Linked DNA regions of Kluyveromyces lactis. The protein of the gene in region 1 purifies or fractionates together with the protein of each later gene. This does not show direct contact. Links are inferred from orthologs where the notes say so. Each region holds a gene or a part of one and is shown in the gene's direction. Other genes may lie near its edges.

Region 1 (9,770 bases):
TACAGCAAGAATTAGACGAGACCAAGATCACGCTACACAAAACCATTGAAAACGTATTACAAAGAGGTGAGAAATTGGACAATTTGGTAGACAAGTCCGAATCACTATCTGCTGCATCGAGGATGTTCTATAAGCAAGCAAAGAAAACCAATTCGTGCTGTATAGTTATGTAGACGGATTTGAAATAGAGGCCAAAACATGGCCAGCCTGATCATATATAGCCCTTGCTACGAGTATTAAGCATAATAGTAATCAAAATAAAGTAATAGTAAGGTTTCACCGGCGTTTTGACCGCCACCTTTGATCAGCCTTTCGTTCCTTCCTGTCCACTAGGGTCTGATTTATCTATCATCATCTGGCTGAGTACGGGCAGCGGATCAATTTTGAAAGAAATTTTCTCCAAAAAAAACGACCCCGGAGAGGATTGAACTCTCGATCTTGCGATTAACAGTCGCACGCCTTAACCAGCTTGGCCACGGAGTCTACTTGCTGGACGCTGTCTTTTGTCCAAGATACCATAAGGTCCAAGACCGACCATTGCCTGCTCACCTGATATTACGTTATCTGCCTGTTAAATTCGGAGTACTTACTCACAGCGTTATCCCCCCCAAACACATAATATACAGGAGGTAAACAGCAGCTCCAAAAGTCACTCCGAATCTCGCTTTTCTCAAGCTCATCGTTAGCGTATCGATGGTATAGTTCGGGCCCTGTTTCCTGTTCTCCGACCCACCCTGTCTGCTTTCTCCCCACGCTACAATTTTTTTTTCAGTTCAAAATGCCGTTATGCATGCGCAAACCTCTCGAGACGTCCTTTTTACCGTTTTCCGTGTTCTATGTCAAGCTATGGAACACTTCACTGTTCTATCTACCGTCTGCTACGACTCCCTACGCTATTGCAGGTTTGTTGACCCATCTGACCTTAGATCTCCAACTGTTCGGCTGGCAACTGCGTAGTGAATTTTGCCTACATTGAGGGAATACAGGACCCATAGAGAACATCCAGAAAGCCGAATGAGAATGGGGTTCCCTCATTGCGCGTGGGTTGCGTGCAATTTTTATACCGATATAATTCCAAATATATACCAATTACAGTATGGTTGACGTCCAGTGCGTCAATGAAAATAGCCTTGGGGTACTGTTACTGATCAAGCGTCCTTGGTAATCCGAAGATCCGCTTGTTCCAACTCAATGTGACCCACGAATGTGGAAACTGTTTAGCGTTTTATCCCACACTAGAGAAAGAGGCATTCATTTCTGGAGTTTGCGAAGAGTTGGCCCGATATTTGCTGTTGACGAAAATGACTAGTTCGAGTTTAATGCAGATGTAATAGACAATAGATAACATATATATATATATATATATATATATAAGTAGAGCTATGTCGCAGTTGGGAATTGGTTATAGTGCGGTTGAGGTTAAATTTGTTTGGTATAATCTTTAATCAGAAAACAAAGCCCCTAGGTATCAACATCGTCATTACTATGAGATCAGCCGTAAGAGTTTTTGGTAAGAACCGTGTTAGTGGGTTGAGATTTGCTAGCACCAGTAGTAAATCTCCAATTCATAAGTCTAGTGCTACTCTGCGTTTTGGGAGATCAGCTAAGTCTGGCTATAGTGCGTTTTCGTTCGGTAAGAAAGTCATCACTGGTGGTGCCTTTCTTGTTGCCGGTTCGGTTGGTATTGCATTGATTTCTCAATTCAATGATAGCGTTGAAAATGGTGCCAAGGTCGATATGACGAAACCAAAGGTTTCTCCAACAGAAGTCGCAAAGCACTCTTCTCCCAAAGACTGTTGGGTGGTCATTGAGGGTTACGTATACAATTTGACTGATTTCATCAGCGCCCATCCTGGTGGTCCAGCTATCATTGAGAACAACGCAGGAAAAGATGTGACCAAGATCTTTGCTCCAATTCATGCTCCAGATGTCATCGAAAAATACATTGCTCCAGAGAACAGAATTGGTCCACTAGATGGTACAATGCCTGATGACTTGGTCTGTGCTGCATTGACCCCAGGTGAAACTCCCGAAGATGTGGCAAGAAAGGAACAATTGCGTCAATCTTTACCCGATATTGATTCCTTGGTTAACATCTATGATTTCGAATTCTTGGCATCCCAAATCTTGACTAAGCAAGCTTGGTCTTACTACTCTTCTGCCGCTGATGATGAAGTTACACATAGAGAAAACCACGCTGCATACCATCGTATATTCTTCAAGCCAAGAATCTTGGTTAACGTTAAGGAAGTTGACACTTCCACTACAATGTTAGGTGAAAAAGTCGGTGTTCCATTTTATGTGTCTGCCACCGCATTGTGTAAACTAGGTAACCCCAAGGAAGGTGAAAAGGACATCGCAAGAGGTTGCGGTGAAAGTGACGTGAAACCTGTTCAAATGATTTCCACTTTGGCTTCTTGTTCTTTACAAGAAATCGTGGAAGCAGCCCCATCTAAGGAACAAATCCAATGGTTCCAATTGTATGTGAACAGTGACCGTAAGATCACTGAAGATCTAATCAAGAACGTTGAAAAATTAGGATTAAAGGCCATTTTCGTTACAGTAGATGCTCCTTCCTTAGGTAACAGAGAAAAAGATGCTAAAGTCAAATTTACAAACTCAAACGGTGCCAAGGCTATGGAAAAAAGTAAGGTTAAGGAATCTAAGGGTGCTTCTAGAGCTCTCTCGTCATTCATTGATCCTGCATTAAACTGGGATGATATCATCGAATTTAAGAAAAAGACCAAATTGCCAATCGTCATCAAGGGTGTTCAATGTGTTGAAGATGTCTTGAAAGCTGCTGAAATCGGTGTTGCAGGTGTCGTTCTATCTAACCACGGTGGTAGACAATTGGATTTCTCTAGGGCTCCTATCGAAGTGTTGGCTGAGACTATGCCAGTGCTAAGAGAAAAGAAATTGGATGATAAAATCGAAATTTTCATTGATGGTGGTGTTAGAAGAGGTACCGATATCCTAAAGGCATTGTGTCTTGGTGCCAAGGGTGTCGGTCTAGGTAGACCATTCTTATACTCTAACAGTTGCTACGGTAAAGAAGGTGTCAAGAAAGCCATTGAGCTATTAAAGGACGAATTGGAAATGTCGATGAGATTACTCGGTGTCACAAGTATAGACCAATTATCCGAAAAATACCTAGATCTATCTACAATCCATGGTAGAACTGTCAATGTTCCTCGCGATAACCTATACCGTGAGGTATATGTCCCACATGAACCAACTCAATTCTTAGAGGAATGAAAAGAGCAATCTCACTTTTGCCATTCGAACCCATAAAGACTCATATTATTTAATGAACGTTTCTTTAATGATAATTTATAAATGAATATTCCAACATATATTATATAAACTAAATCGCGCCAGAATAGATAAAACAAATATCACGCAGGTATTTACGAAAAAGTAAAACAATGTCCACTTATTTATTACGATTGGCGAATCAATACGCAGTTATACAATTCCCGTTGACATTCAATTCAAATTACGACGATACACAACAATAAATCAATTTCAGTCATGTTTAGAGTCCTATTTCAAACCGCAGGAATTGTTTTAATTTGTTATTTTAGTTTGATAATACATATATCCAAAAACCACATACAAGATATTCCTTGCAGATATTGATACATATTTTGTGTGTAGAATATGATTCGATTGCAGAAGGCATGACATCAGAATGTGCACTTTCCTTTCAAGCAGATGTCTTATGGCATCTGATATGACTCGTAGTAATCATTTCGAGAAATCACAAACTGAAAAAGCTGTCATCTTTTTGGAATGATAACCTTACTTTGTTGTAGTCAGGTACGTAGGAACTATGAGAAAAAGAAATGATTCACGTGACACAAAATTGCATCATCCTCTCTCACGCTAAGAAAGGGAGCCCCAGGTGTGCCTTCCGTTGTCCCACATTCATGTAAGCCCTTCAAACCTTCATATTAACGTCTTTCCAATAGCCTGCTCAGTAGCGTACAGTTCTGGAGATGCATTCGTCGAGAGTTCCTTCTGAGCAGTAATTATGCTTCGCAACGACGGTTTCCGGGCGAACGTTTCGGGGTTCCATCTTTTTTCGTTCAGCCGTCGACATAGGAAGTGAGAAACAATTAGAAAGGGAAACAGAAGGGAAACAAATAAGAAACAGGTAGTTAACCGTTCGAAACTGTGATGTTGCAGTTTTCTGTTTTCTTCAATTTGCTTCCCTTCCCTTTGTAATGGTAACGACAAATCGTAGGAACAACTTATTGTTATTAACAAATATAATGTTGTAGCTACTATGTAAATAGATGATGGGGTGGACAGATGAATACTTTATTGTGAAAGGCCCCAAACTGATATCTCCCACTGCGTTCGTTGCTACTCGCGTATCAATTTAGCTTATATACACGAAGCTTTCACTTTCTGGCTTTATGAATACAAGTTTACCTTTATCAAAGTATTGCAATTCATTTCAACAGTATCATTTTGAGTAATGGACAGTACACAACGATCTCCTAGATTACCGGCGTTACCGCCTTTGCAGAGTCAACAATCTACTCCCAAGAAAGTTGGGAATAATGAGAGGAGGAGGAGGCCTCCTCCTCCAATACTGACGAGCCCTGTGACTCCTACATCTGGATCATCTTTCACCGTCGTACCGTCTAGATCAAGTGAAAAGCAGCAGCCTCAGATTGACCAACAGCACCTTTATTCATCTCCTTTTGTCACAGAGGTAAGTGTGAGTGAAAAGAGGGCGCCTGCTCCGAAAGTGTATATATCGCCTTTCGTTGGTGATCCATCTGTGTTTCGGTCACCTGAAACTCTTCCAAATAGCAGTTTCAGCAATAATAGCGATAGTCCAGCTTCACAATCAGATAATAATAATTATAATAATAATAGGCTGTCTTCTTCTTCAACTTCAAGTATATTCACCAATAATGTAACGATGCCAAATATTGAGTTTGAAGGGTTCGCTAGTTCGGATTCGAAAGATATCACAATGAAAGCTCTGCCGGCACTACCCCCACGAACGTTCTCCGGCCCTATTAACGCGGCAACAAAGACTACTGCAACATCTAGTAGTACACTGCAGTTTACGGGGCCCGTTGAACACCGTTATAATGATATGGCAGTTCCAGAAACGCTCCCTGCGCTGGATGCCATTTCTCCAATATCGACAGGAAATTTCAACTGGTCCACTTCGGATAAAAGTAGTTTACAAAACACAACTTTATACTATCCACAACCTCCGAAGATGAAAGATGTTAGTAATGGAGCAATAGGGCCTAATGAACCAAGACTTTCAGACTCAATCAGTAGTTATTATTCCAATTCGAGCTACGCTTTCAATAAAAACGTGGAAGAATATGCTAGACATGAATCGTTCGGTTCAATCACTGGGAGTAAACCACTGAATAATGTGGCTAGCATTACAGTGCCAACATACCCCTTCACGATCGACCTTTTGGATGAAAGAAAACTTTACCAGTGCTACAACATTAGCCAATTGTCACACATATACCAGTGGCTCTTGAAAGTATACTTCGAATGGTTTAATGAATACGTTTTCGGTAAATTGGAATTCTTTCAAATTGTTCAATTACTGTTGGAATTCCAGCTACCAAATTCTTGCGAGCAAGATATCATTGATTCGAACGTGGACAAAATTATTGAATCGCTTATCTTACAAGGTGCTGTGCGATTCGAAGACGATCCGGAAACTGGGAACCAAATCACCATCATCATTGCGGGGCTTGATACTCAAGGGGTTTTTACGGATTTATTGCCCTGTTACTCTTATTCTCATATATATGATGATCCTACTACGGATTTGAAGTGCTATTCATACACCTGCTGGAGCTCAAAAGGATCAGAGAATTACAGGTCACAGCTTAAAATCTCAGAATTCATCAACAAGTCAGTGGGGCTATGGACCGATTACTGGAAATTGACTCCCGAAGAATTATCTGAGATTAATCCTAAGGAAGTTAAACGCCAGAGTTTCATATTTGATCTAATAGTGCTAGAGGAAAGATCATTAAACCTCGCTAATGCAGCAGTAGAGATATATGGGGCCTCTTTTGATCCGGCTCTTTTACCGGATGACCCAAATTTTAAGTCGATGGCATATGATATATTCATTCCATTGATAGAGTTACATAAGGATATTCTTTTGAGCCCTATCCTTTGGAAACTTAAAATAAAAGGTAAATTCATTGATGGAGTTGGCAAGATATATTTAAAGTGGGCAAATGATGCTAAACAGGTGTATGTGAAGTATGCGCAAAATATGGCTACTGTCCACGAAATAATCAATTGGGAAAAGGAAAATAATACCCGGTTTGCATCTTGGTTGAGGCAAATCGATGAGTCAACTCCAATAACCAGATCTAAACTTTACCACGACGTTATCTTTTTTGGTGGATTTTTCAAATCTTTACAAAATATGCCAGTAACACTCAGATCTGTATTGAAGTGTACTGATCCATCAATGGATGATCACGAATACTTACGTATGGCAATTCAAGAGATTGAACAACTATCAAGATTAGTAGATAAAGCCCATGGTGATGCGATAGATAAACGTAAGATAGTCAGACTAGCTCGTCAATTGATTTTTACATCTAAGACAGGCAACACTGTCAACTACCTTAACATACAGTCTGGTAATGATTCCGTGTCAAATTTCACTACAAACAACGAGCATCTTGATTTAAAGTTAGGGGACGGTGACAGGAAGCTAATAATGCAAGGTATATTACAGAAGAAAAGAGAACTATGGCTTGAGAGTGCCCCTGTCTATGTCTTTTTATTGGACAATTATTTTCTGATCACTGAAGAAATATTCAAAGGATCAGGGAAGAAATATAAGCTAATAGAAAGACCCATACCCATTGATTATTTGAGTGTTGAAACAAAGGAGGACATTAACTATAAAAGAAAATCATTGTCAGATGCTGATGAAGAATCTTGCAATGTCCAAACGCCGTCTACGTCAAAGAAGCCTCCACTTTTACCTGCTGGAACAACAATGAGCTCTATACCGAAGACGATATACCAAACTGCTACCAACGCTACTTTAAACAATGACGATAATGAAGAATCTTCTTATTCATTCAAGATTAGGAATACTGCGTCTAACGAATCTCATACATTTTCAACCTCAACCATGGAAGAACGAGAACACTGGGTTGCCTCGCTGGTGAAGGCATTCCAGAATCATATGGGTCACAACGAAAAACAGGCGTTTCAATTACAATGTCTCTGTGATCTGTTTTCTTACGATGAGATTCAGGCGCCTACTAATTTACCATTAGAGCCAGAAGGGTCCGCTGTTAGCTCTGCGATGAAGGAATTCTACAGTGTGAACTCACCAAAAACTTTCGCGTCTATGAAAGGTGACATCTTATGCTCAGTATCGTTTCAATATGAGAATGAGACATTTTTACTTTGCAGCGTAAACCACGGGGTATACATCACATTGCCAAGATTACTGCACCAATGGAAACGCATACTCAACTTTTCCAAAGTGACAAAGATGGAAATAAGCACAAAGTTAGGCTTGCTTTTCCTTCTTGCTGACAGGAAGTTATGCTATTTCAACATACCCAGTTTAATATCAGCATTTTACGATTCTGAACAATATTTACCTGACAACAGAATTGTGGGGATCATCATCCAGGAGAAGATCACATTTTTTAAAATGGCAGAAGACTTCAGCAATTCCAGGCATCTGTTTTACGAACGAAAAGGTGAAATCATTATAATGACTCCCGAGTTTGATCCGTTAACGAAAGTATTCAAATTTTTCAAGCATTACAAGAGCTACAAAATACCCGTTAGCAGTAGCGGATTAACAGCTTCGACGGTATCCGATATTACCATATTAAGAAACAGTTTTATCGTTTGCTCCTCCAAGGGTGCTATCTTGTACTCAGACTCGTTCAATGAAGAAGGCGCTTTTTTACCCACTACGCTCACTGATACTTCAAAGTTAAAGCTTAACCATTTGTCATTTAGGAAGCAAACTGAATCTAAATCAAAGAATAACTCATCAACGATGAAGATGGCTGAATACGTTAAGTCAGATATTTTATCTAAGAAAACTAAACCTATAGCCTGTTTTCGAATTGATCCAAACAACTTTATCATATGCTATGATGAAGCCATTATACGAATCAATAAGTTTGGGGAAATTCCGGATTGGAAAAAGGATATTCTTGTATTAGATTTCTATTGCATAGGCGTGTCCTTAAACCTTGGTCACCTCATACTTGCAGGTGATAATCTTGTACAGGTGTACAACTTACGTTTCGTAGACACCGGAGAATGGGCACTTAACACAATCAAACCCGTTCAAATTATCAAGGGCAAGAAAATTAAGATTACTGACACTTCACAGGATTGCACAAGTATAGTATTGACCCACCCGAACATTGCAGGAAGACAGCTACTCTTGCACTTTAACCTATCAGTTTAAAAAAGGCTCGCTAGTTGATGCCAAGGTACATTGAGTATGATTCCGAAGTAACATGGTAATATCTCCACATACAACCCTGCGAAATCAGTATTATAAACGTTTATGTAGTAAAGAACCTTTCATTGTAACACCCACACTTACTCTCATGGAGTTGCAATTATTTCCTTGTTTATCTTTAATAAGTGAATTATATCAATACTTTCTTCATAATAGCAAATTTAGTTGTATGATTGAATAATTCTTAAATAAAACCACCATTGTCAATAAATAACCCATTATAGAATAAAACAATCAACTTAGGGCGAAGGAAAGTTTTTGTGTCATGGTCTGATGATCGCTTTTTGTGTGTCATTTGTTTCCTATAAATTGAGTTGGTCTGACAGAAAACTTGATCTATTCAAATATCGACACTTTACTTATTCTTAGCAGATTGGAAATTCTTAACTCATGAGTGCTGTATCGTAAGGGCATGAAGAACTTCAGTATGCAAGGTAGTACTACATGGATACAAAATGTCGACACGTTATGGGAAACCTTACAGCCGTTAATTAGATACCCAGTTCTACCTTTAATCCTGGTTGAAAAGTATGTTGAGATGAGCACTTACGGGAAAGATATACTTGGACATGAAAATAGGTATACTAACAAGCAATGAGTTACCATTGATACTGAGTTAACAGATTACTCGGCTTAAATCTCCGATACTTATACCCTGTACTTTTGACTTATAGTGTACTATTAACGATATACTTCCACATTGATACCAAGTATAAGACTAGGGGTTCTTGGATATCAATAAAAGACACAGCTGATCCGGTGTGTGTCATTACCGGAGGGAGTCTTGGATTAGGCAACGAGCTTGTAAAATCGTTGATGAGTGATATCCCTGACATCAAAATTGTTATACTAGACGTTGTAGATCCTAAACTAGACTTATCGATTACCAAAGACCGGATTGAGTTCCTAAGGTGTGATTTATCAAGCGACGAGGAAGTTGAAAATGCCATAAAAACCATCAAGAACAAGTTTCCAAAAGTTGATTTATTGATAAATAATGCTGCTATAAGGGGTAGATTTTCCAGACTTGCTGATATGCCATGTGTCGAAATGAATAAGATATTCCATGCAAATGTTTTGTCCACCATACGATTAATCCAAGCATTCCATCCTAAGAAATCTGCAAATAACGATTTTTACTACGTTGTTAATATTGCTAGTGCGTTAGGAATAATGTCACCTGCTAGAGCTAGCACATATGCTGCTTCTAAGGCAGCATTGATATCGTATCATGAATCTTGGA
Region 2 (8,423 bases), on another chromosome or scaffold:
TTCGTACGATGATGCGAGACAGGAAGCGAGCCAACAGCAGGGTGACAAGCAAGGATCACAGACCAATACCAATGGTGATAGTAATAACAAGATCAATGGCGATAAAATAAAAAATAATAATAACTATTATAACGAAAATAATAATGATGGTGTTGTAAAGGATAACGTTGGCGCAAGTTCTACCCCCAGTTCAAAGAAGAAACAGGTCCAAGGGTTTTATGGTCAAGTTTTCAAGTATTTGAAGGAATTTGGTCCTGTTGGAGTTAATATTGCTACTTATAACCAAAAATGTAGTTTGAACGGTGATATTGGGTATAGGCAAGAGAACACAGACCAGTGGTGGAAACTTACCACTGAAGAGTTGAACAACTGTTTGCAACTTTCTCAAGAACAACGGCTGATGTTAAAAGAGGCCCATTCAAATTACGTTCATGCATTGAGTAAATTAGTGTTGCCCAAGGATACGTATAGTGGAGACGGTATAGTGACAGTTGGTGGTGGTAAATTTTCGATGATGGCTTTCCTTATCATTAAAACGGTAAGAAATTTCGGCACAACTTTACCAGTAGAAGTTTTCATCCCCCCTAGTGATGAAGGTGACGACGAATTCTGTAACGTCTTGTTACCTCAGTATAACGCTAAGTGTATCTATCTGTCAGATGCTTTCCCACCTGACTTGATAGAAAAATCCGATTTCAAAGGTTATCAATTCAAATCATTGGCTATCATCGCATCCAGCTTCAAGAATTTGCTATTACTAGACGCAGACAATTTCCCAATCAAACCATTGGATGGGATCTTTGAAGAAAAATCCTATAAGGATACTGGTCTTATCCTATGGCCTGACTTCTGGAGACGTACCACACATCCATCATACTATAGTATTGCTAATACACCTATCTCAAGCGAAAGAATCCGTAACACCATGGACGATGTCACTCCGCCTTCAGTCTATACCAAGGATTTGAAAGATTTGTCTGACGTTCCGCTACATGATCTTGATGGAACTATTCCAGATGCTTCCACTGAATCGGGTCAATTGATGATCAACAAACTGAAACATTTTCCAACGGTTTTACTATCGTTATACTATAACGTTTACGGGCCATCGTGGTACTATTCTATCTTCTCTCAGCGTTCCTCAGGTGAAGGTGACAAGGAAACGTTCATCGCTGCGGCTCATTTCTATGACTTGCCCTTCTACCAAGTACGTTCTGAACCCCGTGTTGATGGGTATCATAGGCATAATAACGAGGGTTTCCGCGGCGTTTGTATGTTACAGCACGATTTCGCCCAGGATTACAAAAGGTATCGTCAAGCTCAAAACGAAATCGGAACCAAATATACAAACGAACCCGATGACTACGATCCAAAGTATAATTATCAAGAAAATTACCTCGGTAAGTATTTCACAAATGATCCGGTCGATGTGATGTTTGTTCATTCCCATCTACCGAAATTCGACCCCGTTGAACTTGCATTATCTCAGGATTTGATTCAGGATGGTAAGCATATCAGATCTTACAGAAACTTGAAAAGAATGAACGGATACGATCTTGAATTAGAAGTGTTCAAAACTTTCAAAGAGTATGTCTGTGATAAAAGGGTACACTTTAAATACTTCGAGAAAGCAGTTAAACTAGAATCTAATTGGGGCATCATTTGCAACTACGTAAATGAAAGATTAGTTTACCTAATAGAAAGTCACTCAGAAGCCATGGAAGGAAGATTTTAACTCTGAAAGGAAAGACAAAAATAATTACAAAGTCATAAATTGACGATGGGCCGAAGCGTTCCCAGCATCAAACATATTACAACTGCATGTTCTTTTTCATGTTCTTTCTAATTTTCTTTCCTGATTGTTCTTTAATTGAAGTTTAGAATACTGTTTTAACAACTGATCTTATCGTTCATTTTAATTCTAATACAGACTTTACCGCATATCATACTATAATATTTATAAAAACAATCATTAATTCAACAACATCTAATCTGCCCGCAAATTAAAATCTTACGCGTTATGTTTCCAGTAAATTTTCCGTTTTAAATATAAATATGCATATATTCAGGATAGCGGGTGGTATCTAGTATTATTTATACACTATTTATGCTTTAATGCGTCCGGCAAACCCATAGGTATTCCATCCTTTCCCCTGTTTCTTTAGTTCTCTCTTATTTATCGATGATACGGCTGTTGGTCAAGAATGAAATAGTGAAATTTCTTGCTATTTAAGAAATTGGTTCTTGTCACATACAACCTTAAAATGATGAAACAATATGAACAAGACACGTTAGATTTTGGACACACCGTCTGTCTACACTTTCATAGATTATCAGATCCCAGGCGTTGTTGAAACGAGATGTTGAGTAAGAGAAGTTTGAGGCTGGTAAGTCTCACCGGTATGGTGATTTTCGTTCTTTTCTTCATCAGGCACAATGCAGAGTCCGTGACGCGTTCTTACGTGGGGAAAGAATCTAGCAACCTCGCGAATGATGCCAAGGTCGAGAGTGACATCAACAATATCCAAGAAGGTATTGCTGAAACCAAGAGTAACGCGGTTGTTGCTGATACCAGCAACGCAGTTAAAAATATGGCTGGGCCCAACGGTGTGAAAGACTCTGATTTCGCTGCTGAAGTAGAAACATACAACGCTGAAGCTGAGTACAAGAATATCCTTTCTCAATCACCAATCGTGGTGTTTTCTAAGAGTTACTGTCCTTTCAGTACGAGGCTCAAGAACTTGTTGAAGGAGTATGAATTTGATCCAATTTATACTATCGTTGAATTGGATAAGCATGAGAATGGAGCTGAACTACAGAAATATATCGGTAGCAAGACAGGAAGGTCTACTGTTCCTAACGTTATTATCAATGGTATATCTCGTGGTGGTAGCGATGAATTTGCTGGATTACATGAGGATAATTCATTATTACAGAGCTTGAAGACATGGGCCGGATCTACTTTATCCGTGAAGAAAGCTGCTGCTGCGACTTAAAACTTGGCCTATAACATATATAAACATTCGTATACTATACTACAGTGGATCTGATCCCTTTATTAAATTTGTAATAGAACCTGTGACACTTTTATGCATATGGGTATAATATATTATAAGAAAGGATTAGATAGGAAGAATTGAAAACACAAAGACAGAACGAAGGGAACTGTGACGAGGATAAAGCCTGCGATAAGGATACTTCACCCGTGTTACTATGCGTATAGAGGTAACAGATGTCAGTCTAGTGAGCACTTGGGCGTGGGATATTCCCAAGGATTTATCGAAAGGGAAACATGGTGTTGCAGATCAAACGGTACATATGGAAAAATGGGAAGATATACAGAATGAAGATGAGGATGCAGAGAACGATGAAGAAGAATATGAAGTGTGTGGGATCTGTCGTAACCGGTACGATGCTACTTGCCCCTCCTGTGATTACCCTGGTAGCGGATGTCCAATTGTGTTAGGATTATGCAATCATAATTTCCATGTTCATTGTATCAAGCAATGGCTAAGTACTGAAACATCAAAAGGGTTGTGTCCCTTGTGTAGACAAGGATTCCAGTTGAGGCCTAACGTTCTGATAAATAAGATGCACCATGATGAGTTCCAGAAACTGTTGATGAGTGTGAGACAGCACAACATTCCGATGGGTGGTGGTGAAATAGATCAAGATGTGATGGATGATGGCTTCATACGATGAAGGGAAGACTCGATATGCTGAAGATATGTGTGTGTACATCTATTTAATTGGTAATAGGATAGAGTAGTGGTTCAAATCATCAGTGATGGGCTAAGTATACTAGGTAGCGAGGCCATATTACAGGTGGTGTCTCTTGCTCACATGAGACAAAAAAGAAAATGCTTCCAACCAGAGTCGAACTGATGATCTCCACATTACTAGTGTGGCGCCTTACCAACTTGGCCATAGAAGCTGTTAATTTCTTGTTTGATGGGGTAAGAAAAACAACTACACCTGATACTTTTACAATCAGATGATCAAGCTCATGTGAGAATACACAACCACTGGTTCAATAAAAAAGGGCGATAAGCTAACCAGTATACTATTGTAAAATGGTATCGTGTTGCAGTCAATGTTTGTTCGTCAGTACACACGTCGATTGTACGTTGACCTACCGTTTCAGCAAGCCACGACCATGCGGTACCTATCGTGTGGCTTTTCCCCAAAAGCACTCTTATCACGTGATTTTCCCCTAATGTGAAACTCTGTTACTACAAAGAGAGAAGCATGATTAAACCCAATGACTTTAAAAAAAATACACTATGCAACTGCAACTGTATACAATCGGACCAAATATATACAGACCCTAATGTATACCCTAGCACACCTACACACGAACACAGAATCAGCCACTTCCTAAACTATCGCTTCTTCAAGCACCAATCTGCTTCTTTTCCATCCTGTCGTTCTCTCAAAGTGGACGACCTGAGGAAAAAAAAGTTGCAAAATTCATATATAAATAGGAATGAAAAATGCCTGCACTGGTTTACCATTGGCCACTGACGCCATATATATGATCTTAGGTTCTTCAATTGATATACAGCCTTATATACCCCCCGCCAAACGTATATATACACCGGACACGATGAGTTACACTACTAGACAAGTTGGTGCCAAGAATTCCTTGGATTACAAGGTTTACATTGAAAAGGATGGTAAGCCAATTTCTGCTTTCCACGACATCCCATTGTATGCTGATGAAGCCAATGGTATCTTCAACATGGTTGTTGAAATTCCACGTTGGACCAATGCCAAGTTGGAAATTACCAAGGAAGAGCCATTGAACCCAATTATTCAAGACACCAAGAAGGGTAAGTTAAGATTTGTTAGAAACTGTTTCCCACATCACGGTTACATTCACAACTACGGTGCCTTCCCACAAACATGGGAAGATCCAAACGAATCTCACCCAGAGACTAAGGCTGTTGGTGACAACGATCCATTGGATGTCTTGGAAATCGGTGAGCAAGTTGCTTACACTGGTCAAGTGAAACAAGTCAAGGTTCTTGGTGTTATGGCATTGTTGGACGAAGGTGAAACTGACTGGAAGGTCATTGCCATCGATATTAACGATCCATTGGCTCCTAAGTTGAACGACATCGAAGATGTTGAAAAGCATTTACCAGGTTTGTTGAGAGCCACCAATGAATGGTTCAGAATCTACAAGATCCCAGATGGTAAGCCAGAAAACCAATTTGCCTTCTCCGGTGAAGCCAAGAACAAGAAGTACACCTTGGACGTCATCAGAGAATGTAACGAAGCCTGGAAGAAGTTGATTTCTGGTAAGTCTGCTGATGCCAAGAAGATCGACTTGACTAACACCACTTTGTCTGACACTGCTACTTACTCAGCCGAAGCTGCCTCTGCTGTTCCAGCTGCTAACGTCTTGCCAGATGAACCAATCGACAAGTCCATTGACAAATGGTTCTTCATCTCCGGTTCTGCTTAAAAAGTGGAACGATCATTCACTATATATATATCAATTTATATATACGTATGTGTAATTGAAGAAAGATACGTTTTTTCCTCTATTGAGAGGCCTGCTGGATGAATAGCTTTACCTTTTCTAAATCCTTGATACCATCAGTCTCTACTCCTCCACTTACATCGACACCGATCGCATTTGGTAACATATTAATGGCAACAGAAACGTTATCAGGATTCAATCCACCAGCGATAATGAATTTTATCTCGGGATGACTTGCAGACCAACTGGAAATTGCACTCCAATTCAATTTCTCACCAGTGCCACCTTCACCAGAATCGAACAACGTCAGCACATTGTCTACGTGTTCATACAGGTCCAGTAGTAATTCACAATCCTGTGGGAACTGGAACCTCTTAATGATTGGAATTGAAGATGGGATCAAAGATCTGTATTCTTTAATATCTTCATCTCCATGTAATTGTATCACATCTAGATTATATTCGTGGTACAGTTGAAGGACATCATCAACGGACTGATTTCTAAACACCCCGACTAGTTTAGTACCTTTCACGTTCTCTTGTTGGTGAACTGCAGTTGAAATACCTTTCGCAACAGATGAGTCAATGGTTCTTTTCCTACCGGGAACACAAATGATACCTAAGTAATCAGCACCATCATCCACAGCAGTCTTTGCAGCTTCAACGGTTTGCAAACCACACACTTTAACGAGCATCACAGTAGATTTCGCAAGAGGGTAGCTCGCTCAGAGTACCCAAGTAAATGATTAGTAAACTGATGTTTGATAGTTCAATTTTTCAATGAAATAACCTTATATTAAAATTGATATTACTATTATACAAAAATAAAGAATAAAGGATTTGAGTTTATACATAAAATACCATTATTATTTGTTCAGTGAGAGATACCGGGGTATATGGGATGTGTGTAGTGATACCATGCAATCATGTATCAAACATGGAAGAAGTGAAGGGGGAGAAAGAAACTTGAAAAAAAGAAAACCATTTGAAAAGAGGAAAAGTATCTAATTAAGATCTTTCACCTCTTAGTCTTCTGGCCAACTTGATGTCCTTCTTTTGGATAGTGACTCTCTTAGCGTGGATAGCAGCCAAGTTAGTGTCTTCGAACAAAGAGACCAAGTAGGCTTCGACGGATTCTTGCAAAGCACCGATCGCAGAAGATTGGAATCTCAAGTCAGTCTTGAAATCTTGAGCAATTTCTCTGACCAATCTTTGGAATGGCAACTTTCTGATCAAAAGTTCAGTAGATTTTTGGAATCTTCTGATTTCTCTCAAGGCAACGGTACCTGGCTTATATCTGTGAGGCTTCTTAACACCACCAGTAGATGGAGCGGATTTTCTAGCAGCCTTGGAGGCTAGTTGTTTTCTTGGGGCTTTACCACCAGTAGACTTTCTTGCTGTTTGCTTGGTTCTAGCCATTGTGTGTGATTATACTGTCTTGGATGTTTTATGCCAATATTAACAGTAAATCAGAATTAATATAATTCAAACTGTAATAGGTGAAAAAGATAATTCTCAAGATCAAGCCTTTTATATAGTTGAAAACAAGGGGCTTAAAAAACTTGAGGCACTGGTGCACTAGTCTCCTGTCACTTCTGGTTCATGTCCTGTTCTCATTCCCAGAGTTTCACACAATTTCCGCAAAAGAAAAAATTGGTCTCATCCTACTTCCCCTTCTGGGATGTGTCTATTCATTTCTCTCCTCCTGCCATCGCAAAAGTCCATAGTAAATGCGACGGCCCCGTTTCCGTAAGAAATCGACCTGGGTTTCTAGCCACGAGTGGCGTGCTCTGCACTTCGCATCTCAGACGCGAAACCTGTGGTACAAGGCAGTTTGTTTTGGTTTGTCTAATATAAAGTATACCAAGAAAATTGAAAACTGAGTGTTAAATTATGTGGTGAGTGGGTGTTACCCTCCGGGTAACCTGTAAATCCCACAAAGAGATGGTCCGTGATTGTAATTTCACATATACCACCAGCCAGATGTGAAGTTACGGTACCGGTATGGTACAGCATGTTATTTGAGACCCATTCAGATACATTGCAACACCACTCAATTACTATGGGATCTTGTCTATTCCTGGATTTTGAAAAGAAAGGGGCAAAAACAGAACGTAACCTGATCTAAAGTATATAAAAGGGCTCAATCATTTGGATTGGATATTTTCCTGGTATGTCTGTAAAGTTGTTCATTCAACAATAGAATCCTAAACAGCACAAACAAACAAAGTTCAAATCAATATATACAATGTCCGGTAGAGGTAAAGGTGGTAAAGGTCTAGGTAAAGGTGGTGCTAAGCGTCACAGAAAGATTCTTAGAGATAACATCCAAGGTATTACAAAGCCAGCTATCAGAAGATTAGCAAGAAGAGGTGGTGTTAAGCGTATCTCCGGTTTGATTTACGAAGAAGTCCGTAACGTTTTGAAGACTTTCCTAGAATCTGTCATCAGAGACGCTGTCACTTACACTGAACACGCCAAGAGAAAGACAGTTACTTCTTTGGATGTCGTCTATGCATTGAAGAGACAAGGTAGAACCTTGTATGGTTTCGGTGGATAAACAAGAGACTGGATTTGTCTCGATATTCTCACACGCACACATATATCTTCTTTCTGTACATTATTTTACAACATACCCATCAGTTTGTATTTTATATTTTCATAGGTTTTAACGATTAATACAATATAACTTTTTTTCCCGGTGATAATCAGTATAGTGCTTGTATCAGGTTCTTCTGGTGCAAGTGGATCCCCCATTTATCCTTCCCCCTTTTCCTTGGCTCTAACATTGACAGTTCTAATTCTCTATTGTTTTTTATATCACGGGACTGTTTTATTTTCTTACCCGGACAGTACTCCCATTTGGTTTTATTTAGTATCTATGGTAATCGAACTTTCTCTGGACAGATATGATTAGAAATGGAATAAGTCATTGA

What was found.
Region 2: the proteins of TUS1 (region 1) and IPP1 purify together in Saccharomyces cerevisiae (affinity purification with mass spectrometry; 3 studies listed by BioGRID). This does not show direct contact. The link is inferred for Kluyveromyces lactis from reciprocal best matches to the Saccharomyces cerevisiae genes TUS1 and IPP1.

Annotation. Positions count from the first base shown.
Region 1 is NC_006040.1:218,967-228,736, reverse strand, and holds TUS1 (Rho family guanine nucleotide exchange factor TUS1), read left to right. Parts: upstream 1-4,483; coding exon 4,484-8,470; downstream 8,471-9,770. Other genes in the region: palmitoyltransferase YKT6, read left to right, coding at 1-173; CYB2 (L-lactate dehydrogenase (cytochrome)), read left to right, coding at 1,486-3,255; TDA5 (Tda5p), read left to right, coding at 8,955-9,055, 9,151-9,770. UniProt on the Saccharomyces cerevisiae protein: Guanine nucleotide-exchange factor (GEF) for RHO1 that stimulates the exchange of RHO1 GDP-bound form into GTP-bound form. Required for signaling of cell wall defects to RHO1.
Region 2 is NC_006041.1:1,566,297-1,574,719, reverse strand, and holds IPP1 (inorganic diphosphatase IPP1), read left to right. Parts: upstream 1-4,486; coding exon 4,487-5,470; downstream 5,471-8,423. Other genes in the region: alpha-1,2-mannosyltransferase MNN2, read left to right, coding at 1-1,735; KLLA0_E17733g (glutaredoxin), read left to right, coding at 2,361-2,996; APC11 (anaphase promoting complex subunit 11), read left to right, coding at 3,214-3,702; phosphoribosylanthranilate isomerase TRP1, read right to left, coding at 5,550-6,182; HHT1 (histone H3), read right to left, coding at 6,496-6,906; HHF1 (histone H4), read left to right, coding at 7,736-8,047.